Neurospora crassa OR74A: one gene and its partners. The protein of the gene in region 4 interacts with the protein of the main gene of each other region in a biochemical or structural test. Links are inferred from orthologs where the notes say so. Each region holds a gene or a part of one and is shown on either strand. Other genes may lie near its edges.

What was found.
Region 1: of the proteins of ubi (region 4) and NCU09866, one has a biochemical effect on the other in vitro, tested with the Saccharomyces cerevisiae proteins (3 studies listed by BioGRID, with this or other methods). The link is inferred for Neurospora crassa OR74A from reciprocal best matches to the Saccharomyces cerevisiae genes UBI4 and UFD4.
Region 2: the proteins of ubi (region 4) and NCU00621 form a complex in vitro, tested with the Saccharomyces cerevisiae proteins (2 studies listed by BioGRID). The link is inferred for Neurospora crassa OR74A from reciprocal best matches to the Saccharomyces cerevisiae genes UBI4 and KOG1.
Region 3: the proteins of ubi (region 4) and rpt-1 form a complex in vitro, tested with the Saccharomyces cerevisiae proteins (2 studies listed by BioGRID). The link is inferred for Neurospora crassa OR74A from reciprocal best matches to the Saccharomyces cerevisiae genes UBI4 and RPT1.
Region 5: the proteins of ubi (region 4) and mus-8 form a complex in vitro, tested with the Saccharomyces cerevisiae proteins (2 studies listed by BioGRID, with this or other methods). The link is inferred for Neurospora crassa OR74A from reciprocal best matches to the Saccharomyces cerevisiae genes UBI4 and RAD6.
Region 6: the proteins of ubi (region 4) and rad23 form a complex in vitro, tested with the Saccharomyces cerevisiae proteins (14 studies listed by BioGRID, with this or other methods). The link is inferred for Neurospora crassa OR74A from reciprocal best matches to the Saccharomyces cerevisiae genes UBI4 and RAD23.
Region 7: the proteins of ubi (region 4) and polh are reported together in a solved structure, tested with the Saccharomyces cerevisiae proteins (2 studies listed by BioGRID, with this or other methods). The link is inferred for Neurospora crassa OR74A from reciprocal best matches to the Saccharomyces cerevisiae genes UBI4 and RAD30.

What each region holds. Positions count from the first base shown.
Region 1 is NC_026506.1:2,771,752-2,775,004, forward strand, and holds part of NCU09866 (thyroid hormone receptor interactor 12), read left to right. Parts: coding exon 1-3,253. UniProt on the Saccharomyces cerevisiae protein: E3 ubiquitin-protein ligase which accepts ubiquitin from an E2 ubiquitin-conjugating enzyme in the form of a thioester and then directly transfers the ubiquitin to targeted substrates.
Region 2 is NC_026501.1:7,805,790-7,809,879, reverse strand, and holds the start of NCU00621 (TORC1 growth control complex subunit Kog1), read right to left. Parts: upstream 2,801-4,090; 5' UTR 2,083-2,800; coding exon 1,495-2,082; intron 1,437-1,494; coding exon 1-1,436. UniProt on the Saccharomyces cerevisiae protein: Component of TORC1, which regulates multiple cellular processes to control cell growth in response to environmental signals. Nutrient limitation and environmental stress signals cause inactivation of TORC1.
Region 3 is NC_026501.1:8,944,359-8,948,526, forward strand, and holds rpt-1 (26S protease regulatory subunit 7), read right to left. Parts: upstream 2,801-4,168; 5' UTR 2,234-2,800; coding exon 2,231-2,233; intron 2,167-2,230; coding exon 2,075-2,166; intron 2,004-2,074; coding exon 1,889-2,003; intron 1,812-1,888; coding exon 702-1,811; 3' UTR 444-701; downstream 1-443. Other genes in the region: NCU02839 (T-complex protein 1), read left to right, coding at 2,990-3,040, 3,154-3,205, 3,280-3,935, 4,042-4,168. UniProt on the Saccharomyces cerevisiae protein: The 26S proteasome is involved in the ATP-dependent degradation of ubiquitinated proteins. The regulatory (or ATPase) complex confers ATP dependency and substrate specificity to the 26S complex.
Region 4 is NC_026506.1:3,143,847-3,147,843, forward strand, and holds ubi (ubiquitin), read left to right. Parts: upstream 1-1,197; 5' UTR 1,198-1,472; intron 1,473-1,540; 5' UTR 1,541-2,197; coding exon 2,198-2,219; intron 2,220-2,289; coding exon 2,290-3,185; 3' UTR 3,186-3,737; downstream 3,738-3,997. UniProt on the Saccharomyces cerevisiae protein: Ubiquitin exists either covalently attached to another protein, or free (unanchored).
Region 5 is NC_026504.1:1,993,974-1,997,622, forward strand, and holds mus-8 (mus-8), read left to right. Parts: upstream 1-1,434; 5' UTR 1,435-1,757; coding exon 1,758-1,799; intron 1,800-1,890; coding exon 1,891-1,955; intron 1,956-2,038; coding exon 2,039-2,263; intron 2,264-2,336; coding exon 2,337-2,460; 3' UTR 2,461-3,149; downstream 3,150-3,649. Other genes in the region: NCU09732 (acetyl-CoA acetyltransferase), read right to left, coding at 15-164. UniProt on the Saccharomyces cerevisiae protein: E2 ubiquitin-conjugating enzyme that accepts ubiquitin from the ubiquitin-activating enzyme E1 and transfers it to a E3 ubiquitin-protein ligase.
Region 6 is NC_026503.1:4,431,844-4,435,795, reverse strand, and holds rad23 (rad23-like protein), read left to right. Parts: upstream 1-1,152; 5' UTR 1,153-1,575; coding exon 1,576-1,593; intron 1,594-1,823; coding exon 1,824-1,871; intron 1,872-2,052; coding exon 2,053-2,125; intron 2,126-2,188; coding exon 2,189-2,268; intron 2,269-2,330; coding exon 2,331-2,675; intron 2,676-2,735; coding exon 2,736-3,323; 3' UTR 3,324-3,823; downstream 3,824-3,952. UniProt on the Saccharomyces cerevisiae protein: Plays a central role both in proteasomal degradation of misfolded proteins and DNA repair.
Region 7 is NC_026501.1:1,955,564-1,959,780, reverse strand, and holds the start of polh (sister chromatid cohesion protein Eso1), read left to right. Parts: upstream 1-1,417; 5' UTR 1,418-1,663; coding exon 1,664-1,890; intron 1,891-1,952; coding exon 1,953-3,744; 3' UTR 3,745-4,217. Other genes in the region: NCU16343 (hypothetical protein), read right to left, coding at 237-575. UniProt on the Saccharomyces cerevisiae protein: DNA polymerase specifically involved in DNA repair. Plays an important role in translesion synthesis, where the normal high fidelity DNA polymerases cannot proceed and DNA synthesis stalls. Plays an important role in the repair of UV-induced pyrimidine dimers.

The DNA of each region.
Region 1 (3,253 bases), about 370 kb from region 4:
GCCACCTCCCCCTCCGAAGGAGAGTCCTCCCACCGATAGTGACGAGCACGACGAGGATGATGAAGACGACGATGACCACCATCGTTACGACGACGATGATGACGATGAAGATGACGATCCCTTCACTGGTTTTGGTGGTCATGGGCGTCATCCCCACAGCCTTCAGGATACACTGAGGCATCTGAGTGGAATTATGTCGGGAGTCTCGGCTCAGGTGCGGAAAATAATGGCAGATCTGAAGCGGAAGGACGACCCGTCAATGCAACTTATGGCCCTGCATGAACTATCCACCCTTCTGCTCATGACAAACGAAGATCAACTGAGCGGGCATCTCCAACCCGACCAGGTTGTGCCTGAACTGGTAGCGCTGATGAGACCTAACGAGATTACTGGAGAGGAGAACCCTGAAATCCAACTTGTCGCCTGTCGTTGCCTCGCGAACCTGATGGAGGCCCTGCCGGGAAGCACATCGGCCTTGGTCTATGGGGGCGCAGTCCATATTCTGTGCGAGAAACTGCTACAGATCTCCTTCATCGACCTAGCCGAGCAAGCACTTAGCACTTTGGAAAAAATCTCTGTGGAATATCCCACAAGCGTCATGCGCGAAGGCGGCTTGACTGCCTGCCTGACTTATTTGGACTTTTTCGCAACCAGCACGCAACGCTCCGCTGTTACCACGGCTGCGAACTGCTGTCGCAACATCCCGGAAGATTCCTTTCCGGAAATTTTAGGTGTCATGCCCATCCTGTTGAACGTGCTTGGGAGTAGCGATCAGCGCATCGTTGAGCAGGCCTCGTTATGTGTCTCGCGCATTGCCGAGAGTTTCAAGTACCACCCGACAAAGTTGGAAGAGCTTATGAATGTGGATTTGCTCAAGGCCATTCTCCGTTTGCTACTTCCAGGCTCCACCAACCTGATCAGCCCGCACATTCACACTCAGTTCCTACGGGTTCTTGCGCTCACGGCAATGGCGAGTCCCCGTCTGTCGGCTGAACTCTTCAAGCTCAATGTAGTGGAGACGCTTTATCAGATCCTTACGGGCGTGTCCCCGCCGAGTGGGAACGACGACCTTGCTTCCAAGCTTGATAGTGTGCTCATAATGCAGGCTCTGATTCATAGACCTCGGGACCAGATCATTGAGACACTCAACGTCATTTGCGAACTGCTGCCTAGCGTGCCATTGCGCGACCCTTCGTCGATCAATTATACCGTGGAATTGGGCACGTTTGCAGGTCCTGTGGGTGGATCTGGGGAGAGCACTAGGAGAAGGACTGCAAACGAAAAACGTATCGAACACATGGAGGGCTGCAAGGAGGAGGTTCGGAGATTCGCCCTGATTCTATTCCCAACCCTCACGGATGCCTTTTCAAGCACCGTCAATCTCACTGTCCGTCAAAAGGTCTTGGCCGCTCAGCTCAAAATGCTCTCCAACTTGGACCAGGACATCCTGTCTGAGGCACTCAGATCAGTCCCTTATGCTTCTTTTCTGGCCTCCATTTTGTCCCAGCAAGACCATCCTCTGTTGGTTGGGCTGGCATTACAGGCCACTGAGTTGCTCATGAGTCGCTTGGATACAGTCTATCGCTATCAGCTTTACCGTGAAGGCGTGATTGCCGAAATCACCAAGCTGGCAGCTGATGCGCCTGAGCCAAAGAGAAAACACTCTCTTACCGAGCAAGAGGTCAAGGAGGAAACGAACCAAGCTGGGGAATCTCTCACCGGTGTCTCTGGCCGTCCCTCTGCACCTGACCAAGGTGTCGCCGACAAAGAACACCCAAAAACCTTGGAAGAGGACAAAGCAGATGACGAGGATGTTGAACACTCCGAACATGAATCCGGGGCTGAAGAGGGCGGTGAAGAACTCGATGAAGATGAGCCGGAAGACACAGAGAATGACGAGAACGACGAGAACGATGATGGAAATGAAAACGAGGTCAAGGACGACGATCAATCACCCGTCAGCTCCGAAGGAGAGACCATGTCACTGGACGGACCCCCGCGATACCTTTCAGATTTCCCCACAAACACGTACAAGTCGAGCATCCGGCAGGCTGCAAAGAAGTTCTTGGAGATGTATGAGACCGAGAAGCAGGGCAAAGCCATGAAGAAAAAGGCCAGCAAGATTCTAGCCAGCCTATCAGATCTTGCAACCGAGATCGAAGAGTTTTATCTCTGCCGTAAACCGGGTGGTCCGGTCATGGAGCACGGAACATTACTTTTTCAAAAGCTGGTCTCTTATTTCGATACTGACGTCCTCGAGAGCGTAACCAGTGCGGAACTTCTTGGCTCTGGAGTTGTTCGGGTCTTGGAACAGGTTTTCAGCAACCCCGACGAGGAGATGGCAGCTGCAGCACAAAATGCGTTCTTGCAGGTGTTCATGGGATACAGTGTCAAGTCGAAGCCCAAGACAGCCACCGCAGACTCACCCGCAACACCTTTCAGTGTCTTGATCCACAAGTTGCAAGATTTACTGAGCAGGTCTGAGCATTTTGAGGTGATCACAGCTCACCACAACTCATTCGACGGGAGCCGTAGCACGGCAGCGTCAATGTTGGCTAAGCAGATACGCCTCAAGCTTGTGGCCGATGAAGATTCAGATATCCCCCGGTCCTACCGTAACATCATGGTGTCAATTCACGCTATCACGACCTTCAAGTCACTGGACGATTATTTGCGCCCCAGAATTAGCTTGTCGGATCGTCCTCACGGAGCCTCTAGGCGAGATGCTGTGACTAGAGCTCTGGCCGCCATGGGTGCCTCGGGCTTCATGGGGGCGGCAGCAGCGGCAGCCCGTCTCGCGGAGAGAGGATTGCCACCCTCCAGCCGATCGACCCCTGCACCACCGCCGGCGGCTGCCCCTGCTCAAGCATCTGGTTCGCGGTCTTCACGCAAGCCCAAATCCAAGTCCCAACCCACTACCGAAACTCCGACGACGCCAGACGCCGCTACATCCAAGGAAAAGGGTGGCTTGCGACGCTCCGCTCGTAAGCAAGCTGCATCTGATAGCTCTCTCCCACGTCAACCTCCGGAGGAGGACGACCTTGAAAATGCGCTTGAATGTGCCGACGAAAGGCAATTGTCGGATGATGAAGACGAGGCAGCCGATAGTAGCGATCTCAACGTACTGCGTGATTTAGATGAAGGCATGGACGATGCTCCCACCCCCGACCCGACAGCTGTGAACATGGAAGTGGCCGCCGGCGGCAGGATTACCGCGCGCAAAGAGGACGGGACCAGAGTTGCCACTCCGGGC
Region 2 (4,090 bases), on a different chromosome or scaffold from region 4:
TCGACCGCAAGAACGCGAGTCCAGATGAACACCATGACTGGCTTTAGGTCTTGTGCCGCCGACTGGAGGAGCTTCAAGACGTACGGGAAGATGCCAATGCTGAGCGCCAGTTGTACTGCCCAAGGGCCAAGGTCCAAGAACCTTGCTAGTAGGACCAGAGCTCGTACTCGATGCTGCTGACTTAGCAACACTTGCAGAACCACTGGAAGCTGGTCAGGTGGCTTCTGGGACAAAGCATCCCCTCGAGTCAAGTAGATCTCGAATGCTGTGAGCTGCTCCGCGAAGAATGACGAGTTGATGTACTCATACTCTATCCCTTCACTCTCCTTTCTCTCGAGGGCCGGCAACTGGGCAAGAGCCAGATCGACGGCCAAGTCCCAGCTCTCCCAAAGGGGATGCTGACGTGTATCTGGCAACTCTGGATACGACTGGGGATGGCAGTTGTACACAGGCATGATACGCTGTGCGAGGAGAAAGTTTCGGAAAAGAGCGGCAACCATCAAATCTTGCCTAAAAAATTTGCGGAAGAGATGGCGTGGTAGCGTGGTCCATGCAATGGTATCTGTGATGGCAGTGAAAATCCAGTTGAGCTCTCCGAGAGGCGTCCGGCGCTCCTGAAGCCGCCCTGGCAGCTTCTTGGCTCGCTCAGGAGATATTTTGGTTTTTAGCGGATTTTGCAGACAGAAGAACCAGAGTGCCATCTCTATAGGGGTAGTCAAGCAGCAAGTGAAGAGATCAGCAGGCAGGTCGGGGTTGGTTGGCAGATTCTCCTTGACGTTGCAGGCTGCCAGATGGATGTAGGGACGGAAGTTAATCTTTTCGTGGTTTGGGTCCCGTTGTGCCGCCTCCTCTTCTTCTTGCTCGTGCTTCTCAACAAAACGGTGGTAATTGGTGAGGATATTGCCAGCCTCGGAGCAATCCCACACATATATCGTGGGCGCCTGCAACCATTGCTGAAGGTCGTAGAGAGAGACGGGGATATACTGCGTGTAGTTCTTGTTGAAAACCCAGATCTCTCCCGAGGCTGTTGGCTTGGGCACTCCATGCCCATTGTAATGGAAGAGCACACGCTCGTCCTTGGCACTTCTTCGGAGGGAGACACTGAACCGCTTGGTTTCTTCGATGGACGGGTCTAAATACTGCTTGTAGCGCGTCCGAATAGCAAGGGTCTCATATTGAGATTGCAAAGCTTTCCCAATATTCTCCAGTGCCTTGGAAACAGGAGGCACCGTCGGATCTTGCCAAGCTTCAAGCCGGGCACCCGGGGTGGTGCGAAGTTGATCTGGCGGTTCCACTCCTATGTTCAAGCATACTGCTATCGCAGCAGAAACTGTTTTTAGGCGATCGCGCATACGCCAGTCTTGGATCTCGAAAGCGGGTGTCTTTGGCTTCCCTGTTGTCTCATGTCGCTTATCGGTAAAGTACATGTACCAGCTCTGCTCAGCGCACGGTTAGTGACACCCCAGCCAACGGCAGAGACACAAATCAACGTACATTTGCAAGCTGAGAAATGACTTCTTCAGACTGATAATGGTCCTCGAACCCATGCCTGGCACCCCAATCATGGTACTCTTCGTCAACTTGTTCGATGGGGCTTTCCCTCTCCAACCGCAGTCCGTATTCGCTCTTAGACCGCGTTAATGGCGCCTTGGCCGGCCGGGCGACAGGCATATGGTCGTCGTCATCAGATTGCCCGCCATGCAACGTGGTTCCAGGAGATGTTTGGTTATTGTCGTCGGGGGCGCTGGAGGGGCGTCGAAACAAGGGCGCTGGTGAGGAATCGGACATGCGTCTCTGTATGTTGGATCGAAGTGGCAGCTGGTTATGGGCAGCAGGATGAGAGGTCCCGTTTGTCGCGACGCGCTGGTTGCCGTCTTCTGGCCTCTGAGGATGGACTTGTGACATTGTGACTGAACTTTGACGAGCTGGGTTGTTCATTGTGTGGCGGGATGGTGATGTAGCAGTTGATGACGGAAAGCCGGGCCTCGCGTAACGGCCAGAGGTGGGAGTGGGAGCAGAGGGCTGTCTCTGGCCAAATTCTGCGGAGCCGGGGTGGGAGGCGTGAAGAGAAACAGCAGTCATGGTACGCGACTAGACGAGAGCGAAGGTCATGGTCCTCGGAGGGTAGAGTCGGGTTTTCAAGGCCGCGACGAGGCCGGGTAGGCGATGAGTCGAGAACAGAGCAGCGGTGTAACAACTGAAGTCTGTAAAACAGCGAGCGTACGGTGACTTGGAGGTGATGTCGGCGGCCCAGGTAGATGCGCTATATCAGGCGGCACAACCAGAGCTGTATTTCCTGCAGAGGAGGGGACCGATCTGAAGGCTAGGGAAACGCAGAGGTTCGGATGCGCGTGGGGCAAGCGTGCGATTGACCGTCGGCTGTAACGAAGATGATGCGTATCTGACCAAGGTAGCCTGGTGGTAGTAGTTTGGTGGCAGTAGTAGTGCCGTCGTGACTTTCGTTGGATGATGCCGGTCTTTGCGCTGTAGGTTTGAGAGATGGGATTGGGTCAGTCAATCTAGCTAGACTTTTATCAGAGGCAGCTGCGTGCGGGTTATAGACGTAGATTCCCACTGCAGTGGGTGAAATGCGCTTCCGCTTGTGTAACCAGAGCCTACCAATTGTCACTGCCAGCAAATTGCCTGTGTTTCCACTACTTGGTATACCGAGGATATCGCAATAGCAGTTGGTGAGACTTGGGCAATACGAAACTACACGCAACTCCTACTGCTTTGAACTGGCAATGCCGGCCGTGATGATGTCGGCAGAGGGAACCGCTTCCTTGCCTGTGTGTTGTCGTGGTGGGTGCGGGTGGTGGTGGTGGGTTGATGCGGGCCGTGGAGCACAGACGTGTGGATGTGGATGCGCTGCCCATCAGCCATACGCTACTTGGGGGTTTCTGGGTGCCAAGGCTTCCTGTCCAGAGGGGAGGACTGCGGGGAGTGCCCGTTTCTCGGATGCTACACTACACTACTAGTCGTACCTCAAGTATTCAACCTCAAGGTAGAGTGAAAACAGTGAAGGGTGACCTGTACGGTACGTCTGTACCTAGGTACTAGAGGTAGTGTACTAGGTAGGTAGGCAGGCTGAAGGCCTTCTTGGCATCTCCCGCATACAAATAAGCCCAGCGGAGGTATTGTACCGCCCGAACCATCACGGTGTCACCACAGAAGGAGGCACTGAACGCACATGATGATGCAGTCAGTGCACATGGTGGTCCATGCTTTCAGCCTCACCCCCCTCGTTGGTACAAGTACGCTAAGCTGCATTCCTTGCGCCGCAACGTTGCCATTCTCCGTGGGACTTTTCATTCATTATCGATATTGCCCGAGTTAAGAAACGGTTCGTTGACTTGACTCGAGGCCTGCTTCGAGGATCTCACAAATCCATGCGTCGCCTCGGTCTGGATCCGATTCCCGTCGTTAGCCAATCACTTCTACATATACTGACTGTGCAGGACGGATTATCATCAGTTTGTCAAGCTTTGCGAACATGGAAATCTCCTCTCTATTGGCACGTTTTCAACCATCGAGCCATATGCATCAGTTGTCCTATGAGCCCTCTCAACACAAAATCGGCGAAGCTCACTCGACCGCAAGCCACGCTTCCATGGTATTTGCTAGATATCGATAGTCGTGCATGATGTCGCCGGCAGATGCCGAAGCCTTCCTGTTGTTCCTGCTCACCTGCTTGTGTCTTGATATTGACTACTTCGTTCCGTATCCTAGGATGGTTTAACACGATGGGATGGGCTGCAGTGGCATTCACACCTGAATATTCAACATAATCTACCTTGGATTTGTTGGCTGTGGGAAAAAAAGGTTCGAGTTGCATTGATCGTGCTTTTGCATGAACTCCAATTTCAAAAAATATCGGGGGTGGAGCCCCGGCCATTGGGGATCGCTGAGCAAGGGGTCTGTGCGCTTCGGCCCTTTGCCGCGGAGCGGGAACTTCACGTGAAAACGTCCGGAACGGGAGCCGGCCACCCCGAGGACACCTGCTCCGAACAAGTCCAAACGAGTTTCTGCATTCTGTCACGACATCCGACCAACCCATTCACATCGATACGGACACGGGAAGTCACCTTCT
Region 3 (4,168 bases), on a different chromosome or scaffold from region 4:
CCCATACTAACACACGCAATTAGATACCTCCAAGCCATTGGAAGTTATGCATAGGTCCTGGGTTCGACCCCCAGCGCGACCACGGTTTCTAATTTTTTTGCAACTTTTCCCCCTTCGCTTGATTTCCATTTGTTTCCTTCCCCCCTTTGCATCCATGACTTGCCCCCAAGACCTCTCCGTGCTCCGGTATCTCGACGGCGGCACCCGACACGATTGAGCTACAGCTTCCTTATCGTTCAACGTAACCCGCCTTTTTGCCTTATCGCTTCGCTTGGATGGTGTCACTGCCAAGGGTATCCCGGGAGCAGCTCCGTCTCCCCATTTTGGAAGTCTGGATATCCACGGCGGCGGAGTCGTAACACCTCATCGTCACAATTCTCACCATGTCTGCCATGGAGTTTTGCTGTCACATTTTGTCACATAGGTATGCAATCGCTTCAAATCCATGTTCATCATCAACAACAGTAGGCATGATACCTATTCATTCCGCCCGTATGTTCATTTCGCTTGTCAGGAGAGCCTACTGCATTGTGCCTACTGTGTGGGATCTGGCGGTCCAAACTCTCCCAAGTCCCAGCTATGAGTGCCATCTCGAGCCGCTCTTGATTCATCATCTATTACACATCTAGACTTCCGGTTTCAACACAAACCAAAAACCCCAAACTCCCCATTCCGCTATTGATGCGCTTCTTCCTCCCCGTTTAGTTGTACTGGGCATAGGCCGCAGTAGAGTTGAACTTGAGGTTGCCCTTGATGACCTTGTCCACCGCACTCAAAAAGTCCTTCTCCGACGCCACCTTCCTGCGCGCACGGATGGCGAACATGCCCGCCTCCGTGCAAACACTACGCAACTCAGCACCCGTCGCGTTCGGGCACAGGCGAGAAATGAGCTCCCATCGGATATCGCGCTCGACTGACATGCTCTTGGCATGAATGCGCAGAATGTTGGCACGACCCTCGAGATCGGGGAGAGAGAACTCAATTTTGCGGTCGATACGTCCGGGACGCATCAGGGCGGGATCCAGCGTGGAAGGACGGTTAGTAGCGAACATAACCTTAATGTTGCCACGGGCATCGAAACCATCCAGCTGCGTAATGAGCTCCAACATAGTACGCTGAACTTCATTATCACCACCCGCGCCGTCATCGAACCGGGCTCCACCAATAGCATCAATTTCGTCAAAGAAGATGATGCAAGCCTTCTTAGTACGGGCCATCTCGAAAAGCTCGCGGACCATGCGGGCACCCTCACCGACGTACTTTTGAACCAGCTCGGAACCAATGACACGGATAAAGGTGGCGTCTGTCCTGTTGGCAACGGCACGGGCGCAAAGCGTCTTACCGGTGCCGGGAGGTCCGTATAGCAGGGCGCCCTTGGGGGGATCGATACCGAGGTTGACGAACCGCTCTGGCGACAAGAGGGGCATCTCCACGACCTCGCGTAGCTTCTCGACCTGTTCCTTGCAACCACCGACATCGCCGTATGTGACGTCAGGCTTTTCCTCGACCGTCATCATGGTAACGCTCGCATCGATCTTGGGAGGTAGCGGAAGGAGAATCTGATACTTGTTTCTGTCGACGCCGACGCGCATTCCTTCCTCGATATCTGTCGGGCTGACTCGCTCGCCCAGCTGGACAACAAACTTGGCGATCTGCTTGACGTTGATGACGTACTTGCTCTTCGATTCGTCCTTCTCGTCAGGGATGATCTTGGTGCACCGCGCTACCTGAAGCGGTTGCTCTTCTGACATACGCTGACGGTCGGCTGCCACATCCCAAAGGTGAGGGGGCGCAAGGCCGGTATCTGATTCCTGTAGACCAAAAAGTATCACTGGTCAGCTAGATGCGCTTCGCGGTTTGTAGGGTAGCCACCGCAAGACTAGCATACCTTGACGCCAATCTTCTCATCCACGCTCTGCTGCTTCTCCTTTATTTGCTGTTCTAGCTTCTTGATGGCAGCACCGTAGGGCGCGGCGCCGTATGTCTTGAGGACCTGAATATCCCTTGACGGGGGTTAGACGACTTGTCCGTTGCGGTGGTAGTGGTGGGCGGGCTCTCTTGGGCGGCAACATACTCGTCTGAGAGGGGAGTGATCTTCTTCTCCTCGACTTCATCGTCGCCAAACGTTTTCCTGTACTTCTCCCAGTTTTGACCTGTGGCAGAAGGCTATTCCCGGTGTCAGTCGTGCAAAGTGGCGTTGCACCTTTGGGTAGGGCGACTGCAAGCATACCATGATGACGGCGGGTGGGAATGACGCTTCCCGTTTGGACTAGGTAAGGCGAAGAAGGGTGGGTAATCGAAAGGATCGGGTCGGTAATTAAAGTCGCGATGGCTCCGGGCGAGAGATTCCTTGTTTGGCGTGGGTCGTTCGTGGGGTTGTAGAGATCTCGGCGCGGGTTTGATGTGGTGTGTCGGGTTCAAGTTGGTTTGATGGGTGTTCAGTGCTTGCTTGATGTGATGGATGGATGGATGGAGATGGTTCGTCAAGGTCCAACTGCCACCACTCACTGACAGAGGGTCGAAGCTCAATCGTTGCCGTAATCCATGCGCTGCCTTGCGGGCGAGGGAGCTACGGGTGGGTGCCACCTTGACAGCACCTACCTAACCCTATCCGGTTAGACTGTGTAAAGTTACAGCGCCGCAGGTACCTTTTCCACCGCCCACCGCTCAGCAAAAAGCAGCCGACAAAAAATTACCACCTGCCAGCCCACCTTTGCGCCCGCGCCAGCACTCACTTTACGGTCCCGCAGTGGAAACATTGGTACGGAGGGGACGGTGTGTGTGTGTGTTTTTGGCCCATTGATTCCAGACCAGCAAAGAAGGAGAAGAGGAGAGCTCTGCCTTACAACACAACAACTGCACTGCACCCAGCGCAAGCCGATTCCCCAAAACTGTCAACTCGAATTTCCGGCAGTTTCTGATCCCCCCATCCGACCTCCCGTCTACTATCTCCCATAATCCCAAATACCAGATCAAACAAGCTTGCACCATGGCGACCGCACCGGCAGCTACCCAGACGGCGAGCAATGCGACTTTCAGGGTGCGTCCCGCTTTTTGGAACCTGACCCCTCGATAGGAGTCGGTGCGAAAGCTCCAGGAGGAGGGGTGAAGCTCTGTGGCAAGCCAGTTGCTGATAGCCCACCATGTAAACAGGACAAGGAGAAGCCCATCGCCGTTCGCTCATCCAACATTGTCGCCGCCAGAGGTATGCCTACAACATTTTGTCATTCCGTCTTGTGTCGTTGTTGTCTGGGGTGCTGACACAGAGACATGCACCAGCCGTCGCCGATGCCGTCAGAACGTCGCTGGGACCGCGGGGTATGGACAAGATGATCATGACTGGAAAGGGGGAGACCATCATCACCAACGACGGCAGCACAATGTTGAAGAGCATGTCGGTCATGCACCCCACAGCCAAGATGCTCGTCCAGCTGTCGCACGCCCAAGATGTCGAGGCCGGTGATGGCACAACCTCGGTCGTCGTCCTTTGCGGTAGCTTGCTCGGTGCCGCCGACAGGCTACTAGGCAAGGGCATCCACCCCTCAGTCATCTCCGAAGCTTTCCAAAGAGCCGCCGCCGCTGCCGTAGACGTCCTCCACGACATGTCGCAACCCATCTCCCTCACAGATACCGCCTCGCTCCTCCAGGCCGCCAACACTTCGCTCTCCTCCAAGATCGTGTCACAATACTCCAACCTCCTCGGCCCCATGGCCGTCAACGCAGTCACCAAGACGATAGATCTCAAGACCGCCGAGAATGTCGACCTCAAGAACATCCGCATAATCAAGAAGGTCGGCGGTACGATCGAGGACAGCGAGCTGGTTGATGGTCTCGTCCTTACACAGCCCGTCATCAAGAGCGCTGGTGGTCCCGTCAGGATGGAGAAGGCCAGGATCGGTCTTATTCAGTTCCAGCTCAGCCCTCCCAAGCCTGATGTGCGTATACCTTTCTGGCGACCATAACCTACCCACCTTGCCTGCTGGCCCTAAATCGCCCAAACACTACCCTTTTCGTGCTTTTACTAACAACTCACTCTTACAGATGGAAAACACCATCTCCGTAAACGACTACCGCCAGATGGACAAGATCGTCAAGGAAGAGCGCACCTACCTCCTCAACATGGTCAAGAAGATCAAGAAAGCCAAGTGCAACGTCCTCTTCATCCAGA
Region 4 (3,997 bases):
GTTGGTTCTGGATGAGTGGAAAAATGCATTCCAACTCTTACGATAGAGCCTAGGCCAGACGAGTACATAAGTACTCAAGATCAATGAGTGAGAAGGATTGCGAACGGCAACCAGGCACCTGCATTGAACTTGGTTCACTACACGCATTGACAATAAAAAGTATCATGTACACCAATCTGATGACGTTCAGGGTTGTCATTTGATCATGGGATGTCACAACCCGAGCCGAATGGGTGTATTGAACGGACCGTAAGGACGATTCCCGCATTTGCGAAGACGGGAGTTGTAGGCGTGACTGCGCGGGAGTCCCCGGGATCCCGTGCAGGAGGTGATGCCGGCCCCGGTCTCACCCGAGGTGGTTGGCAGGCCTAGTAGCGGGCAGGGCGGAACTCGTCACTTGGCTCCAGGAGTTTGTGATGTTGTGCTGCACAGCTTACCTCCCTCTACTGTACATATTACACTCGTGCGTAAAGGACCCAGCATTCTGATCGATGATGGTAACTCGCGATACTATGGATCATGCGTGAACGGAGGCTAGAGACCGTCAATAGCGGAGCGACCCTCCTAAAGTGCGGGGCGGTGGAGCCAAGAAAGAGGCCACGATAATGCTGGGCGATAACGGGAGGAACGGAGTCACGACATCATCGGTCGGGGGCTGGTGGGAACCCTTATGGCCAGGCACTGCAGTCAGGAGGTCTCCCATCTGTCACCGGTCTTGAATCCTTACCGGCGTCAACAGCCACGGTCGGTCGGAAAGCCGATAGAAAAGCGAAAGAGAATACCTGGTAATAGCTCCCCGTTCCCGTCCGGTTCAGTTGTCGGTGTCCCGCCATGAACACGGAGAACTAACGAAGCTCATCGTCGCACCAGACGGAGCGCTTACCTCAGCAGCCTTTGCAAAGGTCGGTGGAAGAACCAACCGTGAGTCCGTGACACCAGCTGAGCATTCTGTGGTTTACAGTGCCAGCTGACTCGCCCCTTTACTGTCTGGAGCTGAAACGATGCCTGGCCGGGATGCACCTCCCGTCCGGTTGTTCTTTCGTTCGACGACCAACACCTCGACCCCTTTGGTGACACTCTTTGTGGTGTTGGTTAAAGACAAAGTCACAGGTCTCTTTGATTTTATATACTCATCTTCATGTCTTCTGGTCATTTCCTCCATTGCTGGAAAATTGCGATCCAACCGTTCACTCTTCCCTGTTTGCCTCTCGGTGCCCTCGATCGGACCACGTCATTGACCGCTCACTTCGTTGGGGGGTTCGCTTATCAAATGCGGGGAACCAGCAAGGTGCACGTCGGTATTCCATGATGCCAGCTGGACTGCTGCTGTGTGAAGCATCGAGCAAGAGGCCATCAACAACCTGATAGAGGGAACAATTATAATAACATGGAGAGAAGCTTGTCAAGATGCTGGCAAAGTAACGAGAAGTCGAGATGGCACTCTCGGATTTGTAAACAACTGAAACTCGAAGGTCCGTCGTCCAGCCACATGCAGATCATTCTTTGGCTTATTCATCCAGAGAGAACCTAACTGAAGCAGGGCAAACAGCCCGGCTGAGGTGACTGACGCATTGACGGGCAAACGGCTGGGTGAGTGCCCGCCACTGCAGAAGGCGTTGACAGTGCGATCAATCAGCCGCGGTCACTGTTGGGGGGGATGTCCAACCACTCCTGCCAACGGGCAACAGCCAACAGTCAAGGGGGAAACTGTCGTCTGACTGGCTTCTTCTCGCGCCTTCCCTCCACTTCTCTGTCACTCCCAACCGCCAAGTGGCTTGTGCGTGGCCTGTCAGTGAAGGTGAGTGACACACCACTCACACCGTGGCAGGCGTTGCAAACGGACCAGTGACGATCGACTTGGGACCTGGCACCTTTCCGCTTCCACTCCAGTCCCGTCACCTCTTCCCCTTCACTCAGCCCCCCCGCTTCGCTTCCCTTTCCAGGCAGTGGAAGCCTGGCCCCTCCAAGTTCGCCATCCTGATTCCTGCCACTTCCGCCGCAGCCAGCACCTGAACCTACTTATTTAATCCTCCCCGCCCATCTGCATCCCCGATTCCATTTCTTCCGCTTTCACCATCTCTCTCCATCGCCATCATCGCAGGAGTGTTCATCCACGCACATATCATTCCCGCCACTCGATTCTAGTCATTTCGCTTCATCCATCAACAGTCCATTCGTCCACTGCACAACCCCCATCATGCAGATTTTCGTCAAGACTTGTAAGTTATCGCACGCTCACCGCATCATCACTTTACCATCGATCGACCGATGCTAACTATCTCTTCGCAGTGACCGGCAAGACCATCACCCTCGAGGTCGAGTCGTCGGATACCATTGACAATGTCAAGCAAAAGATTCAGGACAAGGAGGGCATTCCCCCCGACCAGCAGCGCTTGATTTTTGCCGGCAAGCAGTTGGAGGATGGCCGCACCCTTTCCGACTACAACATCCAGAAGGAGTCTACCCTCCACCTTGTCCTCCGCCTGCGCGGTGGTATGCAAATCTTCGTCAAGACTCTTACCGGCAAGACCATCACCCTTGAGGTGGAATCGTCCGACACTATCGACAACGTCAAGCAAAAGATCCAAGACAAGGAGGGCATTCCTCCCGATCAGCAGCGTCTCATTTTCGCCGGCAAGCAGCTTGAAGACGGCCGCACTTTGAGCGACTACAACATTCAGAAGGAGTCTACCCTTCATCTCGTTCTTCGTCTACGCGGTGGTATGCAGATTTTCGTTAAGACGCTTACCGGCAAGACGATTACTCTCGAGGTTGAGTCTTCCGACACCATCGACAACGTAAAGCAAAAGATCCAGGACAAGGAGGGTATCCCACCTGATCAGCAGCGTCTCATTTTCGCTGGAAAGCAGCTCGAGGATGGTCGCACCCTCTCCGACTACAACATTCAGAAGGAGAGCACCCTGCACTTGGTGCTCCGTCTTCGTGGTGGTATGCAGATTTTCGTCAAGACCTTGACGGGCAAGACGATTACGCTGGAAGTCGAGTCTTCGGATACGATTGATAACGTGAAGCAAAAGATCCAGGACAAGGAGGGTATCCCGCCTGACCAGCAGCGTCTGATCTTTGCTGGTAAGCAGTTGGAGGATGGCCGGACCCTCTCTGATTACAACATTCAGAAGGAGAGCACTCTTCACTTGGTGCTGCGCCTCCGTGGCGGCCAGTAAGCGGATTGTCGTCTTTGTTTCTGATTCTTGATGACGAGCAAGGGTTCATTTGGGCGTTCAGCGTTTATTGGGTTACTTATTGCATCCATGGGTTGGGAAATGATGACAACCATGAAACAGGGCATATCTAGCCGAATCTAATGGCACACGCTTCATACATACAGCGATGCCATAATAAAGACTATATTTACGGTCTCAAACATGATGTCTCTTGGTGATTTGCTTGTGTCTCAATTCGTGAGCTTTTGTTATTCCCGTCAACCTGTCATCTGGTCAATTGGGGATGGAGTCGGACGTGTAAGTCAAGATGGTGGTGCAGTGGGTTGGTACACACCGTGCGAGGTGACCGTTGCGTGGCCGAAAGTGGCGCCCTTTTTTGGTGGACAAGATGCATCATACGTGAAAGATACGTACCGACCGCCGAGTTCAGTTCGCGCTAGTCCGGCCGTGGAGCCCTCCCTCCCCCCCTGTGAAGGACGATCCAACGTCCAACGTCCAACGTCAAGTTCGTAGTTGTGGAAGGTTGAATGTGAAGAGGACATCCGGAAGGACCTCTCATCCTCTCTAATCACCAGGGCAAGAACCATCACTGCATGGAGTTTGGGCACACATGAACCTGCAGAGATAGGCATCGGCGACTTGATTGACGTAAGGCCCGCGTCCAAGGTGTCTTAATCGACTCTTCATCTTCTTGATCCTTCTCTGTCCTTCTCTTGCTCTTCCACTCTTACAGTCAACGCAATACTCTCAATATTACACTTTCATCAGATTTTTCATCAAAGCATTGTTGTTTCTCGACCATCACAACAAGG
Region 5 (3,649 bases), on a different chromosome or scaffold from region 4:
ACGGAGCGCTTTACCTTGGCCGTTGGTGTCCTCACACCACTGAGAATGTAGGCATCCTGAATCTGCTGGCGGAGAGCAGACTGGGTGGAAAAAAGACGAGCGCAAGCGACACGGGAAGTGCGCGAAGCCGAGCCAGCGGCTGTCCTGGCGTGGCTAAGAACCATTCTGATGTCGGAAGCTGGTGACGATGAGTTACAGGACGTAGGGGCGGTACTGCACAGCGCAGATGTCGGAGGGGAATCTGGCGAGAAGGAAGAAAGGAAGATGGCCGAACGGGGAATGAACAACAGCACAACAGGAGAGGCAACACAAAAACAGGAGCAGGAAATAATTGGGAGTAGGGACAGAATCACAGGGAAGACTTTCTTCTATTGTTTAAAAATGATTAATAAAACTACCAGTTGGGGAGGCGATAGCTAGGTGGTCTCTTCCTCTCCTTCCCGCTTTCTTTTCCTCGGAACTTGTCAGATGCCATGATGGCACCGGTCGGCTTGTGACGGTACATGTGTGGAGAGGATTCACACCAAAGCGATGCTTCACCCCGCCAATTGAGCGCCAAACAGTGGCCGCCACCGTGGTTCCTCCGCGGGGACCCCAACGGGCGCAAGGGACACAGAAGCTTGGTATCCGGGGTTTCCCGTGGAGCCTGCCGCTGACCGACAGGGGAAGCTCCTCATCCACAACAACTGAAGAATGCCCTGCTTGGGTCATGAGCCCATGAGTGCCGTACCCACGGGCGGATGGAGAAACATCAGATGGAGCCAGAGTTGAAGCCGTAGCGGAGGGGAAACGGTCAACGGATCGATTCGGGGGTGGATGCTCTCCAAGCAGTTCATTCACTCTTTCCGCAGCCTCCTGTTGCCCAGCGCCGGCATCATACCTAGCTGTACCGGATACTGCCCGCATAAAATCAGGGATCAAAAGGCCAGGGCACTGCACGCTCAAGAGTCGTTTCGCATCACTTAACAATCTATCCCAGTCGCGGTTGTCCCTGCAATTGCCATCCCGCGCGCGTCTTTGGATGTTGGGCAGAAGCGAACCACTTTACACGCGGGAACAAAAGCCGAGCTTCCCAACGCGATATGTTTGAGATGTTGCGTTGGTTCCAAGCAACGATCCTATTGCGGCGTTGAAGTGTTTTCGGGCAGCTGCCGGGGGATGCCACAGGAGACAGCTTGATCAAATCACTGATTCAACCCGAACAATTGGCTGTCATGCTACAATTTCTGATGTTTTCTTGGGATTCATTTGTCAGTTCGATTAGTTAGATGTTTGGCTGGACAACCATTCGGCGGTGGCGTGAGAGAAGGTGTGTGACTGTGTGATCCCATTCCATCAGCTGGCAGTCACCTCGCGCACGAGCCACCAGTCGCTTCATACCCAAGTGTAATTGGCCGAGAATCAGAAAAGTGCTATTAACAATCCGGCGGCAATTGTCAACCGGGGCAGTCACTGTTCATTGCCCCTGCCCTCGGCGCGCGTTCTCCTAGCTTCTTTGTGACGCCCCCCTCCGGGCAATCAGTTGGGTATGATAAGATAGCGGTCGTTAATGCGCGTTCACTTGTTGGCTCTGCTGGTTTCCGTCATTCATCTCCGCCCCTTCAAATCAGTTCGTTTGATTGTCTCTTCGCTATTCCAACCACGAAACCCATCTCGACTTCGAACAAAGTATCGCATCGATCCTACGTACTCCATCAACCTTGTAGCTTTCTCTCCATACGCCTGGGCCGACTTCATCATCCATCACCAAAGCCAAAATGTCAACCGCTGCCCGCCGCCGGCTCATGCGAGACTTCAAGGTGCGAGACATCATGAGCCACCCCGTTGGGTTCACACCGCTTGATGACTTGGCCGCCATGAGCACAATATACTCACCATGTTCCTCGACAGCGCATGCAAACCGATCCTCCCGCTGGTGTTTCCGCCTCTCCCGTACCCGATAATGTTATGACATGGTAAGGAGAACGATCTTTGCTGCGGTGTCGTTATGGGCGGTCGACCCCCGGCATGGCAATGACTGACATGAGTCTCCATATAGGAACGCCGTGATCATCGGACCCGCCGATACGCCCTTCGAAGATGGCACCTTCCGCCTGGTGATGCACTTTGAGGAGCAGTATCCCAATAAGCCTCCTTCGGTCAAGTTCATCAGCGAGATGTTCCACCCCAATGTTTACGCCACTGGCGAACTTTGTCTCGATATCCTTCAGAACCGCTGGAGTCCTACGTACGACGTCGCGGCTGTTCTTACCAGTATTCAGAGGTACGACTGCATAATATCTTGTTGACGTTCATTTTGCGTTGTGTTATTATGCTGACAAAACTGTCTTGACTAGTTTGCTCAATGACCCGAACACAGGATCGCCTGCAAACGTCGAAGCCTCCAATCTATACAAGGACAACCGCAAAGAATACCACAAGAGGGTCCGGGAAACTGTTGAGAAGAGCTGGGAGGATTGAATAGTGACGACATTTATCACCACGGGGCCCTCAATGGCAAAAAGCCAATGATTGATCTGGGTGCTGCAAGTCGGTGTTGATATTGCTCACTGGGCTGTTCGATACAGATCTCTTGGCTATATCAACAGTCAGTTGTCGACCGACGACGAGTTGCGAGATGATCCACATTCGAGGATACCCGGCGGTTTGGCCTTTTAGGGCGTGAGGGTGGAACGGATGTCGTGATATTACATTGCATTTGGGAGGCGTCGTTCTTTCGGGGCGTTTTTGTTGTATTTCAAATATCCGCATCTCTCGCCTATTGATGGCTGAGAGTCAGCCTGCTTGTCTGCAATGGAGAGAGCGGGAGTGCTTGGTTTTTCTCACTCTTTAGGGCGATTGTCGGGTTTGGAGTTTAGGCGCTCGTATCATACCAACACAAGCACATCTGGCGAGGGCAGTCCCTGGATACCTCAACTCACCCCAAAAAGCCCTAGATAGCGTTCTTTTCTTTTGTCTTAGAGATGAAGAGATGGCATAGTGTCTTTCATTGCAAAAAGCTCACCATGTTATGTCGGCCGGCTTAGATGTACGAGTTTCCAGAGAGTCTTGCATTTCTCAGCTTTCCTCTGTTTCTTTGACGAAAGTGTACATGACCCCGCTTGGTGCCTTACATCCACATGATTTATATCACCTATACCTAAGGCTGAGAGTCAAGTCTAGCGTGCACATTTCGAACTGCGGCGTTGTTTAATACACGCTCACGTTAACAGGCATACCTTGGATGCAAGGGTCCCTGTGAGAGTGAAAGACAGGCTGACTACCTCTATCGTAAATGCCCAGAAAACGCAGGGTTAAAGGGCTGTCAGATGCTTTTGGCGGCCGTCAGAGAGCATTAGTGTACGTGGCTTCCGAACACTTTTAACCCTGCAATCTGGAAACAAGGTTCTCAAGTCTGTATGGTACGTCCTGGTCCGACTTACCCAGCTCTACATGGCTCTTTTGGAAGACTTCTCATAACTTGCATAGGTACGATTTTATGTTGTAGGACTGACGCTTTGCGTATGATCTGCATGAGGGGTGAGGTTGTTTATATATTGTGGGTAGCTGAACTTGGCTAGGCTCCTCTACCTACAGCGAGCGGTAGCCTCTTGAAAGCTCGAATTGACAACGTAGAGAGGTATCTTGAAAATTGATTGCAAGTTACCCA
Region 6 (3,952 bases), on a different chromosome or scaffold from region 4:
TTTGTATTTTTCATATCTTGGGGGAGGGGAGGAGGATTTTGTTTTGAGGACGTGAATATGATACCTTTGATTGCGAGGCGTTGGACTTGAGTTCCATACCTAAAGATGGGTCTTGGATAGGTGGGATTTGTGTATAGAAAAGCTCGGCTATGGTTGGATAGAAGGATGGCTAGATGATGGATGGATTCAGATAGATGCTTCTCTGCGCTATGCGCGAGACGGACGACTGAAAGATGTAGCGGATGAGAACCGAAGAAGTCAGAACAAAAGATCGTGCCCACGAAATATGCGCGGTGACATTGAGCTGTGATTTTCCATCTAAGCTATGATGCTTAGACGTCCGACCATGACTGCGATGGAGATGTAGGTAGCTTGGAAGCTTGGGAATGGTGATGAGAGAAACCAGAATAAAACGATGTCTGGCTCAAATCATGTTTGCTGCCTTGAAAAGTAACCCCAATGCTACCGTTCCGTCGTTTTTGCGATGATAACCGAAGGGAAGGTTACTCGTAGTCAATTCAATGTCACGATCCACGTCGGGTCACGAACGTGACGGAGGCCTTATCTTATCTGGTGCTCTTTCCAAGGGAGCCTACCAATGCGTATGATTGGTACAGATGGAAGGTGTTCTTCAGCCCCATTTTATACGCGCTTATGAGTGGAGATCTATTACCTAGTATTGCCGTGACACTGCCATAATCAGCGATGACTTCATCTTCTTCATCGCAAAAAAAATTCAAATAGAATAAAAAGAGATGAAAGAAGATGGGTCCTTTGGATTGGCTCACAGCATGACATCAAACATTCCCCTTTGATTTTGCATCAACTTCCATCGCCAACGGAAGCATGTGGTTATCAGTTCAGTGACATTCAAAAGCAAGACTAACAAAGAAAACCAATTCATGTTTTTCAACGCAACAAGGCCAACACAACCTGGAAAGTGAATGGATCCATGGGATCAATCAGTCTGTGTTGTGTGTACAGACGGACGGGATGGCAGCGTGACGACTGTGACCTCTCCACCAGCTCCAGGCGGCAAGATGCCGCGCAGCCCCCCCCGCCTAACAATGGCCGCTGCCTTGTGCCTGTCCACTGCACTTTGCCTGCCGCTTCCCCCCAGCCATTCACTGCCGTAGGTAGCACACCGTGAACCTGGCTACCCGCCTGCTGTGCCCCTCTTCCATTCAGTGCACTCAGGTGAAGCGAACAAACCCCAAATTCTCCGCCTCAAAGCTGCCTCATCAGTCATCACAAGCCGCTGTAAAACGTTCAAGCTTCCCTGCTACCTTCCATATTTCTTGCCACAGCGATTACAACTATCTCCTCCCCTGTATGCCACCTCGCCATCTCTGCGGCAGCCTTCCCACACACATCAACCTTACCACAGCAACCAACTAACCACTTCCACTTTTTTTCCTCGTCCTCGCCCAACTCCGCCGACTGCAACAAATCTTGCTGTCTCCCATCGCGACTCGGAACCCAACGAAGCTCGCCCGTCCGGACAGACTTTACTTACATCATCAGACTCTCAGTGTCAACGTAGCAGCCGTTTAGCTGCGTCGCAGATTGCCCATCATGAAGGTTACTTTCAAGGTACGTGCCCATAAGCTTGCCCATGTCGAGTGTTTGACGTAGCCAGCCAGCCAGCCAGCCAGGCAGACAACGAGCCAGACGTACCGCGATGGCTTCTCAGCAAATTCGGAAACAACCCAGCGTCTTCTTTGAATCCTGTCTGCCTGGTTGGATCAGAGCTCGCTCCCTCTGTCCATAAGCTCTCAAAGTCTATATAGTCAAATACTAACAATGACTGTTCGTTCATCTAGGACCTCAAACAACAAAAGTTTACGCTCGAGATCGAGCCTACCGAGACTGTTGGTTACCCTTCGTCGCCTCCCATTTCCTTACACCCTTTACCTCAGGCCGACGTCATGGAGACATCCAACACGCCGTGACAGCCCTCGACAATCGAATGCTCTGTCGGCGTCGCGAGCCTCCCATGTCGCTTCGGGAGACGTGCATGATGCTGGCGAGCTAGAAGCTAACCGGTTGCAGATTTCCAAGGTCAAGCAGAAGATCTCCGAGGAGAGGGGCTGGGCTCCCGAGCTGCAGAAGCTTATCTACTCCGGTAAGCATCGCTTGCTTCTCAAACGATGGATACCGCTCCCGAATACTGACTTTACCCCAACAGGTAAGATCTTGAAGGATGAGGAGACCGTCGAGTCGTACAAGATCGAGGAGAAGGGCTTCGTTGTCTGCGTCGTGAACAAGGTACTATTTCCCCCGTTATTACTCACGTCCTTGTACAAAGATGAAGCTGACACTTTGCGCAGCCCAAGACCACTGCCCCCAAGCCAGCCGAGTCGTCGTCGTCTGCCGCTGCCCCCGCTACCCCCGCTGCCGCCGCCCCGGCCTCAACACCTGCTCCCCCTGCCGCTCCCGCGGCCTCCAGCGCTGCTGCCGCTGCCCCTTCGACGCCGACGCCCGCTAGAACCGCTGCGGCTCCTGAGGCGGCCCCAGCTGCCGGTGCTCGCGATGCCAACGCCCTTGCCATGGGCGAGCAGCGCGCCGAGGCCATTGCCAACATGGAGGCTATGGGTTTCGAGCGTTCGCAGATTGACGCTGCTATGCGTGCCGCCTTTTTCAACCCCGAGCGCGCTGTGGAGTATCTCTTGAACGTACGTTTCACAACTCATTCCACTTTCCGATCTATGTCTGGTTTACTGACACAGCTTTAGGGTATTCCCGCCAACCTCCAGCAACAAACTGCCTCTCGCCAGCCTTCTGCCGCTCCGGCTGCTGCCCCTGCTGCTGCCGCTCAGGCGGCTTCCCCCGCTGCTGCCGGTGGTGATGATGACGATCAAGTCAACCTTTTCGACCTTGCCGCTCAGCTCGGCAACAGCGCTGGCGGACGTGGTGCTCGTGGTGCGGAGGGTGCTGGTGCCGAGGCCGCTGGTCTTGGTAACCTCGACTTCCTCCGCAACAACGCGCAATTCCAGCAAATGCGTCAGCTTGTACAGGAGCAGCCCCAGATGCTGGAGCCTATCTTGCAACAGCTCGGTGCCGGCAACCCTCAGCTTGCCCAGATGATCGCCCAGAACTCGGATCAGTTCCTGAACCTCCTTGGCGAGGGTGGTGAGGGTGGCTCTGTCGGTATTGCTGTCACAGAAGAGGAACGCGATGCCATTGAGCGTCTCACCCGCCTGGGCTTTCCCCAGGACCAGGCCATCCAGGCCTACTTCGCTTGCGACAAGGACGAGGAGCTTGCCGCCAACTTCCTTTTCGATCAAGGACCGGAGGAAGATGACGACATGCCCCAACAATAAATAGGGGTGAGACTGTAGGCTGGAATGAGATATTTTTGGGTTTTTCGTAACTGGGCGTTAAAAGTCGTTGGCAGGGTGGATTTTCGTTAGCAGCTGCCTTTGCATTTGAAATGTGGGCGACGGCTGGATGGTTTGGGCTTGCTTAGGATGCATTGGAGACTTTATGATGACATTATACCTTAGGGAGCTCAAAATGCTCAACACTGCTGATCAACGTTCACATGCAATATACGGGTGGGCTTTGTGTGTCTGATCTATCCACTGCGCGACAGGTTTCGACGAGTTTTAGTAAGGAAGCATCAAGAGTGAATGGGGTGATGACACTGAAAAAAATGCTTCGCGGAGATCTAGATCAAGGATAACTACAGAGGTGTGGTGTTTTCACAGCTTACGAATCACTCTATTCTTTATGTACTCTATAGTCCTGTCCCTTGAAGAGTGAACGAAGCATTCCCATCACGAACCATAACCAGCAATGAAAACGAAGATAAGATCCGAGACCATGAAACCGTCCGCATACAAGTAGTATGATCAAGAACCCTTTTTTTTTGTGTGTCTCCATTTGTTTTTCCCTTCCCTATTTCCATACCTAACTAAGTGCCCCTCCGGTTGATGGGTATATAAAACCT
Region 7 (4,217 bases), on a different chromosome or scaffold from region 4:
TTAGATACTTTAATGCTGGCTTACGGTCGGCACTCATGTATGGTGTCGAACTGCTATTTCTCCGGGTATGAGCAGGTAGTGTTTCGAGGCTCTTTCTTCCTTTCACCAACGAAGTCAGGTACTATTTCTATACAACTTCCCAGCATGTTCCCCTTTGTGGTAACCTCTTCAGTGACTTTACCCTCTCCATCCACACGAAACTTTTTTTTCGAGCCGGCCGAGCACAGTCCTTGTTACTACCCATATCCTGAAAAAGTGGAAGTTCGATAGCGTTGAACGTAAAGGTCAGAAGCATGGCGCTTGTTGCAATTGCAATCATGCAGTGCCGCTGCTTGATTCCTACCTAACCGACTCCAATATGGTAAGCCCTGCGTACTTGATCTCAATAGCGTGACGCAACTCCAGTGGAACTCTGAGAGACCAACATGGACTGACAGGATGTGGACGGAACCGAAGGAAATCCGAGTGCAATCTGAAGGACGAGTGATAACCGATGATAACAGAAAATGATGCATCGTGCGAACTGGTAGTATCGTAGGGTTCATTGCATCGTATAACCCCCACGTGTGGAACATATGGTAACTCAGTATGTATGCAGGTGGTGAGTTGTCATTTGGGTTCAAGTTCCCGATTCTCAGGTTGCGTAGAGAGTATCGGAGGAGACCATTTGGCTGTAGTATCTCGTTCGTTCTTTCTCCAGGGCAGGACTAAAGTCGCTCGTCGAACGTGTGATGGACCATGCGCATTTGCTTGTAGACGATTGTATGTTCAAAGCACATACTTCTAGCCGCGACTTCGGCACAATATAACTGGTTGAGAACCCTGTCGTCGTGATGCCGTGAGGTGGTGTTGATATGTGATGGTAGCCCAGGACTTCGAGTTTTCCAAGACTAGAGCAGTCGGCAAGGTGCCTAGGTATCCCCGCGCGCAAGTCCCTACACTACATTAGATATCTCGAACGCAACATCGATAGCATCCGTTCATGTAACCCCCCTTCCCCCCTGCCCCCGCCCGCGCCTTACTAGGCGATGTAGGCATTGGCGTGTTTGGGCAGAATACGGGCTGTATTGTGGACCGTTCGTTCTGCCACATCAACTTCAGGTCAGGTGTACATGTCTAGCGTATCTCGCATATGCGGGAAGGGGCCCTTTTGGACTGAAGGGTTAGGCTAAAACGCGGGATGACTTCGCGGCTCTGCATTTCAGTTCGATGATGATTTACCGCCTCCAGAGGTACATAGCTATGTAACTGGAGTTGGCACAGCAGAGTCGTGACCTGCAGGGTGGGACTCCCGCACGTGGGGATCTCATCACTGATAGGCGCGGATGTATCTATCGAGTTACCCGCTGTGGGGGACCTCCCGGCTCGAACTTCCTCCGATCCTGTCAGCTTCCAAACAGTTTCCACAGGGCAGTCTGGACACTGGACTACGCGGCAGTTCCCACCTTACCTTAGCGCGCTTTTGCTCCGTTCGACGTGACTTCGGCACTCTCACAACCACCCGTCGCGACGCCGTCTTCATGCGCCTCCGTCACCGATGAACGTCTCTCGGCCATCCGCGATCACCACGACTCTGATTGCCGTAGCCGGCCCGTCTTCATAGCCCGCCCGACCGAATGAAAATGACGACACCCTTGGCTTTAGATTCCGCCCATACGCTGCCATGTCGTCACCGCCCCATATGCAGTCCTTTCGCGACTTGTCTCCCGCGGGCGCTCCCGGCATGAAGCGTTCACGGTTCACGTATCGTCACATCCAGCAACTCGCTGCCTCGAGTACTTCGTGTCCGCTCAGGGTCATTGCTCACCTGGATCTCGATTGCTTCTACGCTCAGGTAGAAATGGTGCGACTAGGGATACCAGACGACAAGCCCGTTGCCGTTCAGCAATGGTAAACCCAGTCTCCAAATGTGCCTATTGGGCATTCTCTGACGTCAAACTGACCTTGTATAGGCAGGGATTGATTGCAGTCAACTATCCTGCTCGTAGCTTTGGCATCGGCCGGCATTGCAACGTGTCGGAAGCAAAAAAGCTCTGCCCGGATCTTATACATCAACACGTTGCAACATGGAGAGAAGGCGATGCCAAGTGGGATTACCACCCGGATGCCGCGGCCAACATGGCGACGCACAAAGTGTCCTTAGACCCTTACCGACTTGAATCCCGTAAGATTCTGGCTATCATCAAAGAAGAACTCCCACCTCATCTTCAAAAGGTGGAGAAAGCGAGCATCGATGAGGTGTTTATGGACCTCTCGGCACAAGTGCACACTATCCTGCTCGAACGTTTTCCCGAGCTTGCCAACCCTCCCCCATACGATGACCCGACCGAGATGCTACCCATGCCATCCATCACCGCTCTCGACTGGCAGGCTGATGCGCTGGTAGACCTGCCAGACGAAAACGCTGAACTTGAGGATCCGGACTGGGACGACGTGGCTATTCTTATAGGCTCAGAAATTGTGCGCAAGGTGCGGATAGCCATCAAAGATAAGCTTGGATACACGTGCTCCGCAGGTGTAGCCTGTAATAAGCTGTTGAGCAAGTTGGGCTCGGCTTACCGAAAGCCCAACCAACAGACGGTGCTTCGGAATCGTTCAATTCAGCATTTTCTGTCCGACTTCAAGTTCACAAAGATGCGGAACCTTGGCGGCAAGCTGGGCGAACAAATCAGTCAGATGTTTCACACAGACACGGTCAAAGACTTGCTCAGCGCTTCGGTGGAGCAGCTAAAATCGAAGCTAGGCGATGACACAGGCGTCTGGGTCTACAACACCGTGCGTGGGATCGATACCAGCGAGGTAAACCCGCGCGTCCAAATCAAGTCGATGCTGTCGGCCAAGTCCTTTCGTCCTAGTATAACCTCCTTCGAGCAGGCTGTCAGATGGCTGCGCATTTTTGCCGCTGACATTTTTTCCCGGTTGGTCGAAGAAGGTGTTTTGGAAAATAAGCGGAGGCCTAAGACCATCAATCTCCATCACCGTCACGGCACTCAAACCCGGTCACGTCAGGGTCCTATCCCTCAAGGCCGTAAGCTCGACGAAGAGAGTTTGCTAGAGCTGGCCAGGAACTTGTTAAGCCAGATTGTTTCCGAGGGTCAGGTTTGGCCATGTTCCAACCTCAGCCTTAGCGTTGGAGGATTTGAGGATGGTGTCACTGGAAACATGGGCATTGGCGCTTTCTTGTTGAAGGGCGAGGAGGCTCAGGCAAGCAAGACGGGGTCAGGGACAGCGACGGTTGACTCTGAAACCGAGATCCGCCCGGCAGAGAAGCGAAGGCGCCTGGATAACGGCGGGATAGAACGATTTTTCGCAAAGAGAGAGTTATCCCACGGTGCTAATCCTGGGTTGGGCTCCGACGATACGGCCATCAGTGGTCAAAGCGGTCAAAGGTTGGGCACCCTGAAAGAGGAGGTCATGTCAGGTGAGCCGGCCGGTTCAGAGGGGGTGGGCAAAGGCGATGAGGTATATAACGGGAAGTCTGAATCAGAACCCGGCCCAATCATCACATTGACGTGCTCGCGATGCAACGCCAGCCTCGATAGCCCCGAGGAACTGCAAAGCCATCAGGACTGGCATTTTGCCAAAGAGCTCCAAGAACAAGAACGTGTCAGCCAGACATTCGTCAATCAGCCATCAGCGTCTAGCTCGCGTGCCGGCAATCAAAAATCCACAAGCACGATGCCGAAGCGACAAGGTAGACCTAAGAAGGTCGAGCGCGGGCAAAGCAAACTCAAGTTCGGTTGAACAGGCTATCGCGATTTTCATGACACGATGCCCTGAAAACGGCAAAGTGACATGAGCGCACAGGTGGAGAATTCAATGCATGAATCCACAACACGACGCTTGATATCAAAAGGTGCCTCTGACCAAGCTATTCAAGATTGCACATGCAGTCTTTGTGGAGGACGGTTTGCTCTTCAGATTCGCTGCAGGTGTTCGTCTTCAGCTGCGCGACGGGATTGACTACGGCATCTCACCAAAGTCTGCGTTCTGGCGGTGACCGAGAATCCAGGGACAAACCAATCAATGCTTGGACAGATCCACGATGCCCTTCTGGCATTTAATGGGTGGTAACGGGTCGGCAGTCTCACTTCCGAAAATCTCGTGAAGCACATTTTGCTACATGGCAGCCGAATCTATGGGGAGGCTATCAAGCTCCTATACTTGTTGGAACGCCCTCTGGAAGATAAAACTTCAATCTGCGCGCAATGAGTTGA